2 linked regions of the Oryza sativa Japonica Group genome follow. The protein of the gene in region 2 interacts with the protein of the main gene of each other region in a pairwise test. Links are inferred from orthologs where the notes say so. Each region holds a gene or a part of one and is shown on either strand. Other genes may lie near its edges.

Evidence for each region.
Region 1: the proteins of delta(24)-sterol reductase (region 2) and putative ataxin-3 homolog interact in binary tests that used the Arabidopsis thaliana proteins (3 or more experiments, as listed by UniProt). The link is inferred for Oryza sativa Japonica Group from reciprocal best matches to the Arabidopsis thaliana genes DWF1 and AT3G54130.

Annotation. Positions count from the first base shown.
Region 1 is NC_089035.1:37,283,764-37,287,936, forward strand, and holds the start of putative ataxin-3 homolog, read right to left. Parts: upstream 2,807-4,173; 5' UTR 2,716-2,806; coding exon 2,443-2,715; intron 1-2,442. UniProt on the Arabidopsis thaliana protein: Interacts with key regulators of transcription and represses transcription. Acts as a histone-binding protein that regulates transcription. Acts as a deubiquitinating enzyme.
Region 2 is NC_089044.1:14,013,899-14,017,923, forward strand, and holds the start of delta(24)-sterol reductase, read right to left. Parts: upstream 2,803-4,025; 5' UTR 2,586-2,802; intron 1,545-2,585; 5' UTR 1,532-1,544; coding exon 290-1,531; intron 36-289; coding exon 1-35. UniProt on the Arabidopsis thaliana protein: Plays a critical role in the general process of plant cell elongation. Involved in the synthesis of campesterol, an early precursor of brassinolide.

The DNA.
Region 1 (4,173 bases), on a different chromosome or scaffold from region 2:
ATCTAAGACTATCATTTAGTTCTAGTTAACCATTCAGTGACAAGGTTTTAAGTTTTAACTATTACATAAAGAATCACCTGAATAAGTTGAATGAAAGAGACATATCAGCTCATGTATACCAAAGGCACATGGAAATAAATCTGTCACTAGTATGGCAAGAGAATTTACATGATGTAACAATTCCGAAATATGCAATGCTGCCAGAGCAGAGTAAACATGTTACACTATTTACAGTGGGCAGTGGGAACAGGCACAATTTATTCTTCTCCCATGGATCCCAAGGGACAAGAGTTGCAAAACTTGCATACCCCAAATTTAAAAGGTAACATATCAAACATGGTTAATGTTATTTACAGCAAATTGGTATTGGCCACATTTGACAGAGACATGCATCAAGGATAACTAGGGATACAGAACATCCAAATATCGGCAGCATATGTGCAAAAACAATAAACAATAGTGCATGGACTGAGAAAACATAGATGGACAACATTTTCACCATATTTTTGGGCTCGCTAATCATTGCTAACAGCGAAGTCCTGAATTCGCTAAATCTTTTTCTACCGCAAACTGTAAAATTGATACCTTCAAATTTTAATAAAAAAAGGTGGCAAAACATTAACCAGTAGTTGTACTTGCATTTGAGGATCTATTATATTCTTGGCAATTGATAATGTAAATATAGGCATATCTAGGACACCAGTCTACCACAATGATAGAACTGGCAAGCCACAAGCTTTAATGACAAACTCAACTACTGCGAGCTTGTCATGGGCAGGTATGTTAGTGGGTCAAATATGTTGAAGATCATAATCGTGAGAGGTGATAGGTCATGGCCCTGGACCTCAAGGGTGGTGTTTGATTGCCATGATCAGCACTGCATCAGGGAGGCAAGGACATTAGAAACGGCTAGAGAAAAGAATTAATTGCATTTTCCGCTAAACAATTGCCGTGAGCTTGATTATAAAGCCACCCCTAACAATAGTTTCCAAATCAAACTATTAACTCAATCTGAGTCGAAAACTAACTCAAACCAACTCTTACCAAATCCTAAAATAAACTGACTATTCTAACCATAACTAATTTAGAATAAGGGCTTATCTCAGCCAGAGAAGGATATGGTCTCAGAGAATAACTTGGGCCTGGGCCTGCCGCATCCTGGACTGCTCCTTGCCATCACCCCCTCTGCTTGTACGTTAGACCCCAGATGACAGAGCTTTACTGCGGTTTGCCCATAAGTGGAATGGACTCAGCGCAAACTTCAGATTTTTGTTCTTTTCTATTGTTACTAAAAGTATAATACAAACCTTAATGTCCATGTCAACACCGTTGATGTTCTTAATGTAAAATTAAAATTCCCATAAACACCAAACAGGTTTTCAAAAACCTCTTATGCTGTTTTTCCTAAAACAGGTAAGAGATAACACCTAGACAGCTAGAACATAAATTTCTCCTTAATGTCACAATTCAGTACACGACAAAGCTCAAAGCAACAAAACAAGTAAAAGCTTTATGGCGCACACCACGAACATAAATTTGGTCGGAATAATCGCAGAAGAATTAATAATTATATATGCATGCATGCATGCACGCACTTACTTGTATCTTTGCATGGCAAGTAGTGAAGTACGTAACATGAAAAACTGCAACCTGCCAAGAGAACTCTTGTCGACGTTTACAAAAAGCCCTCTCACCCAACTATTTCCCACATGTTGTTAATTTAAATGAACGTGCAACTATGGGAGTAAACAGATGTAGTCACATAGAATTTCTGTAACTTCTCAAGAAGAAACTATACAGCAATATGCAATCTCCTGTCATCATCACCACATAGTACTTACACTGCTGCAACAAAAACCTATGAACATATTCCTAACTAGCAAAGTTGTGACTACAAAAAGGAATCATGCAAATGCTGATGTCTAGGATAAATATAAACCCTTCATATTACCTAACCATATAGAAAGGTTTCAATAAAAATTATATGATTTTATCTGCATTTGAGAACAATAGTGTGGGCAAGTTCCTGTCTCAGACAAATAAACATTCCTTCACCATCCTCAACATGATAACATATTGACCACTATGCTATAAATCATTTATTATTTGGAATTCCGGAAGCCATCTGAGAATCTTAAACTAGAATGTACCATCAACAACATGATACGTCAAGCAAACCCCCCAAAATTCGAACCTACAAGCCTACAGACAACCAAACTCATTTCGACAACAATCTCACTAACTTCGAGGTTATAGGCCTACAGGCAACCAAGTTCATTTCGACAACAATCTTGCTAAATTCGAAGCTTACAGGCCTACAGGCAACCTAAGTTCATCTCGGCAACAATCTCACTAACCAGGACGACAGAAGACAAGCGAAAAGAAATAAATAAACCCCCCACGAGCGTGGATGGCGGAGGGCCATAGACGGGGCAAGCCAACCTGGATGCTGAAGTCTCCTCCAAGGGAGACGTTGTGGGAGCCCTCACCCTCGGCGAGGAAGTCCCCCGCGGCGGTGGTGGCGGCGCCGGCCGCGCCCTCGGACATGACCTGGCGCTCCCGCTGGTCGAGGTCGACGGCGAGCGCGGAGAGGTCGAACTCGGAGAAGAAGGGCCCCTGCAGGGTGGTGTTCACGCAGTGCACGGCGCAGAGCTTCCCCTCCTGCACCTCGTGGTACAGCAGCCCCCCGTTGCTCGCCGCCGCCGCCTCCTCCATCCCTCTAGAATCTTCTCGAACCCTCCGGCGATTCCCCCCTCTTCTCTTCTACCCTCCCTCTACCCCTACCACTGTGTAGCGAGGTAGATTCGACCAACCAACCGATCCGATGGGGGAAAGGTTAGAGAGAGAGTTGAGTGCTGTACGGGTCAGTGCGCGACGCAGATTCTCCTGCGGGGAAAAAAAAAACCATCAAAAAGGCGTCGCCACGTCGACCGCGATCCTCTCAACCGTCTACCACGTGGAATTTGCCCCCAAAAATGAAATTGATATCTCGATGCACCAAGGCTGGTTTAGATAAAATAATTTGAACAAAAACATCAAATCAAATGTTTGACACATACATTAAACATTAAACGTGGGAAAAAACAATTACACAGTTTACAGTTTGCATGTAAATTGCGAGACAAATTTTTTTAGCCTAATTACGCCATAATTTAATAATATGATGCTATAATAAATATTTACTAATGATGGATTAATTAGACTCAATAAATTCGTTTCGCAGTTTACAGGCAAAATCTATAATTTATTTTATTATTAGTCTACGTTTAATACTTCAAATCTGTATCTGTATACTTTAAAAACTTTACCTCTAGACAAAAACACACCCCAAACAAACAAAGCCTCTATAGTCTATGCTCCATATGTATTTGATTCATGAGTGAAATATGCCAAGGTTAGTATTTCGATCTATTTAGAGTGCGACGTCACCGTGAAAGAAAAGGAAAAGGCATCGGGTGCGTGGCTCCACCAGATGTTTACAGCTCTCTCCACATTGGTAGTCCGTATACTGTATGTAGGACAGTAGGAGTGTAGTCTATTTCTTCGCTTTCTTTTCTTTTTCTCCCTGAGAAGTTGAAAAATAATGTCGTGGGCCTAGCCCATAGATGTCCTTCCTCTCAATATAAGTCGTGGGCCGTTTCAGTTTGGTGCGTGTTGATTGAGCTGTCATTTTGTTTGTATTAGGCACATTTCCTTGCAACAGTAGATTGCTATACTATAAATAGATTTAATTTAAGAAACAGTAGCTATATGTTTTCGTGTACGAAATTGCTATTTTTCTTTCGACGGATTTTTTGGGGAAAATATTTAAGTTTTAGACTGTTAGATTTACTCTGAAAGATGGAAAAAAAATCACTACCACTGGTGAAGAAAACGAGCACAAGCTCATCCCTCTAATTGAGGTACAGTAACACAAGCGGATCCAAGGACCACCGGAAAAAAAATCCTAACCTAATACATATATACACATATATTTAAAAAATTAGAAAAAGTAAAAAAAATACTAACTCCCTTATTAATATATTGTTATGCATATTTGATCAATTTATACTTATAGCTTTGTTATATTTAGGGTATTTCTAAAAAAGTATAGGTTCGATCACCCATATAAAAATCCCAGATATGCCACTGTGCACTAACACCTATTTCTAATCTCGAGTCCAAGTTGCACAA
Region 2 (4,025 bases):
TAGAGCCGGTGCGGGCACAGCCACAGTGGATAAACCTAATAACAGAAATTATTAGTGAACTGTAAGCAGCAGTAGATTGCAGTACACTAAAATAGTTGGTACAGGCACAAGAATAGTTAGGTGAACTTACATCAAGCCCAAAGATATAAGTAATAGAATGCATGTGCAAGCATAACAATTTATGGCATGGAATATTCATTTCTAGAAGTAGTTATATAATTGAAAAGCCTCGTTTTAAATGCATATTTGATACTTAAACATCAAATATTCGATCCGAAGTGAAACACACCTCCATTTCCTTGTGAACAAACTCAAGAGCATCTCCAACTTTGTACAAGGGAACCAGCATGTCTTGAATCACATGGTTGTCATGGTAGTAATTCCTGATAGATTCACCCTGTGTGGCCTTGAGCAGAGACACCTTTGGTGGCATCAGCCAGCCCAAGAGGAACCTGAACCAGAATTGGTCGCCGAATGGCAAGATCAGCTTCCCCTCCCAGTACAGACACCGGGTGTGACGGTGGTAGTACTCTCTTGTTGGAATGTACTCCACAAACTCACCCTTCTTGAGTGCTGTCTGAGCATGTTGGTAAAACCAAGGCTTGAACCACCACCCGACACAGTTGATCTTATTGCCCTTCTTCTTTGCCTCTTCTTTGGAAGCATAAACACCAGTCATCATGACACCCTCATTTTCTGTGTACACCATTCCCTCAACGAAGTCTGGGACCTTTGCAGGATCACCATCTCGTGGTGCAAACGAATCACAATAACCTTGTGCTATCTCCTTCAGTGACCCTTTAACTGGAGTATATGTGAGCCTCATGTATTCCTTGATGGGAATGAGTTTGATCTCAGCGGAAACAAGAAACCCAAGTGTTCCCTGGGACCAGGGAATGCCATAGAAAAGGTCAGAGTACTCATTATCCTTAGTGGCTCTAACAACTCGACCGTCTGCAAGAACAACTTCCACGGCGACAACAGTGTCAGAGAAAAGACCATAGAGGTGAGAGCTCCCTTCAATACCATACCCATTGATCAGTCCCCCAACAGTAAGGTCATCAAGCTCAGCAACAACTGCAAGGGCAAGGTTCATTGGGCATGTAGCTCTGGTTATCTGGCCCATGTTGACAAGAGGCTCAACCTTGGCAACCATTCTCTCTCTGTCAATCTCAAGAATGTTCCTGAAGGCGGAAAGGTCAACCTCAAAATGCCTAGCACGCTTGTAGTCTACATTGCGCATGCCAACAGCAATCCAGGGCTTCCTAGCTGTGCAAACAAGGCCATCCTTCTTTGGGTTCCTCTGCTTGAGCCGCTTCACAACTTTTTGCACATTGTCATCATGTTCCTTCTGGCGACGTTTCTCAGATTTCATGGCAGACCAGACATCGCCCAAATAGATATTGAAGTAGATCAGAGCGGAAATGGGGAGCACCACAAAGATCACCAGAATCCATCGGAACTTTACCAAGTAGTCCACCAAAACCTTCTTCCTCTTCGGACGAACGAGGGGCTCCTGCAGATCTGCCATGGCTGCAGTCCGGCTCTAGGAACAGAACAGTTCGAGGAGAAAACAGAATTAGTTAGAGTAATGATTTTTATCAATCACCACACTGAAGCTGTATGTTTCTTGAAAATTAAAAAAAAAACAGTAAAAGTGAAAGTGAAGCACATAACAAGAACAGACCCAAAAGATTTTACATGAGAAGATGCCAAAAACAACAAATGTACATGATTATTGATTAATATCTTCTCCGCTGTATTGACACAGTTACATCCATCACACTTCCATTTTACCATCTAAAGTACCAAGTAAAGATGACGCAACAATGTCAAAGGCATATCATTCTTGCACACTGGATAGGTATACCATAATAGAACCTATTTTAAGGGGTAACAGGGCAATGACATGCAGAAGCAAAAAAAGGAGGGTGAATCAGTAATGCCATGTCAACATATGTACTACTAAGATGCAATTTGTAGGATAACTGATCCTCCCAGCTCAACATCCACATCCAAGACCAACCGCCACCTTGCACCATTCATGAAAAATTTCACAACACAACAAGAGACACAAAAAGAATCGACACGGTGTCGACGTCCATGTGAATGCCGCAGCACGCATGCTGTGAGGCTGCCCATCACAACAAAAAGGACCGCGGCATTGCATCGTATCATGCGTTCTCGCTCACATAATCCAACAACAACTGAACCCCCCCCCCCCCCCAAAGCTCACGCATGCGGCGTGAGCACCAATCCATGGCTAGCATGCACGCACGCACGCACGCAGCAAAACATGCTCCCACACGGAGACACCACAGATCTGTTCAGGCGGGGACCTCAGAAACCTCACGGGTTCAGCTAAACCCTCCCCAAGAACCCGAACCAACCAAACCCCCCCAAATCCCTCCCTCGAAAAACAAGCCGCTACCAACACTACCACTACGACTACGACTCTACACCGCAAGAACCCGGAAGAAACGGGACTGGATCCGTCGATCCGAGCGGGAAGAAATCCCCTCAAGGCAATCTCCGGTGGCTCATGAAGCGGCGGGGAGGAGGGAGAGAAGACGAGTGGCATATACCTTGGGCCCGATCCGAACCGGGAAGGAGGAGGAGGAGGAGGCCGGCGGCGGCTCGGCGGCAGCGCCGCGCGGGCGGAGACGGCGAGGCGAGGCGAGGAGCTCGGCCTCACTGCCTCTGCTCTGGCGCCGCTGGTCGGGGTGGGGAGCCGGAGGTGGTGGTGGCGGAGTCTGGGGATGGGGGACTCAAGTAGTGGAGTGGAGCGCACAGCGCAGGGGCGGAAAGGGAAATTCCTTTTCGGCGGTACTACACGACAAGAGATGGCGAACGGGCGAGAAATACGCGGAAATGACTCTTTTGACCCCCCTACTCCCCAGCGCCCGGAAATTCAGCTCAATATTTCACTTTTCCGTTTTCCCAATTTTAAATGGCACTCCGGTACTCCCCTGTCTTCAAGTGCAGTTATAAGTTTTTGCGTCTAATTTTTATCGTCCGTTTTATTTAAATTTTTTTATAATTAGTATTTTTATTATTATAAGATGATAAAATATGAAGGGTGAATAGCTAAAGTGGTCCTCCAAGTTTCATCCAAAGCTCAGTTTAGTTCTTAATGTTTCAGTCTATCCATATTACTCATTCAAGTTTTTATTTTAGTTCAAACTTATCCTTAAACCAACAACTCTCTTGATAAATGACACTTATACCCCCATCATTCACATATATAAGAGAAAATTTGTATGCTTTATTTTTTTAAGATAATGTTTAGTAAATTATGTAAAACGAAAATAAATTATGTACTAGCAAGTGTATACGATAGTAATTGCTTAAGTTTCATGTGCACATATTGAAATAATGGGAAGTATATATGCAATGTTGTTTATTCATCTTGGTTTTCTCCCTTTTAGTATATAGTTGTATATAAATTAAGGGCAAAAGGGATATTTTCTAATAGAAATATTGACTTAAAAATAGCCATATGGCATATTAAGTGGGCCCAAGTATGATGTCAAGCCAAAACAAATATTTAGAGGAGCTATGTGGATAAAATGAAACGTGAAGGACCAAATTGAGCCTTCGGTGAAACTTGAGGGACTTAATTAGCTATTCACCCAAATATGAATAGTACTTTTACGTCACTTATGATTTTAATTTTTTTTAAAAAAATAAATAAGACGGACAGTTAAAGTTGTGCACGGAAAATCATGGCTGCACTTAAAATATGACAGAGGGAGTACCAAAGAATATGCCCAAGATATACCTAAATATTTAATATGCCCAAGATATACCTAAAAATTTATCTCTAAAATTATGTTTTTGAATTTCTAGTTTGATTTTAAGGTGTAAACTAACTTCTAATAATAAAAAATGGAACCACCCCCTAACTACCAACAGATACGAAAAAAAATTGCTCTGCCCATCGCCTCCCACGCACACGATCTCTCCACTTGTCACCCACTCCTTTCGCCATGCGGAAATTTGGAGCGAGAGTATCTCTCGACTTG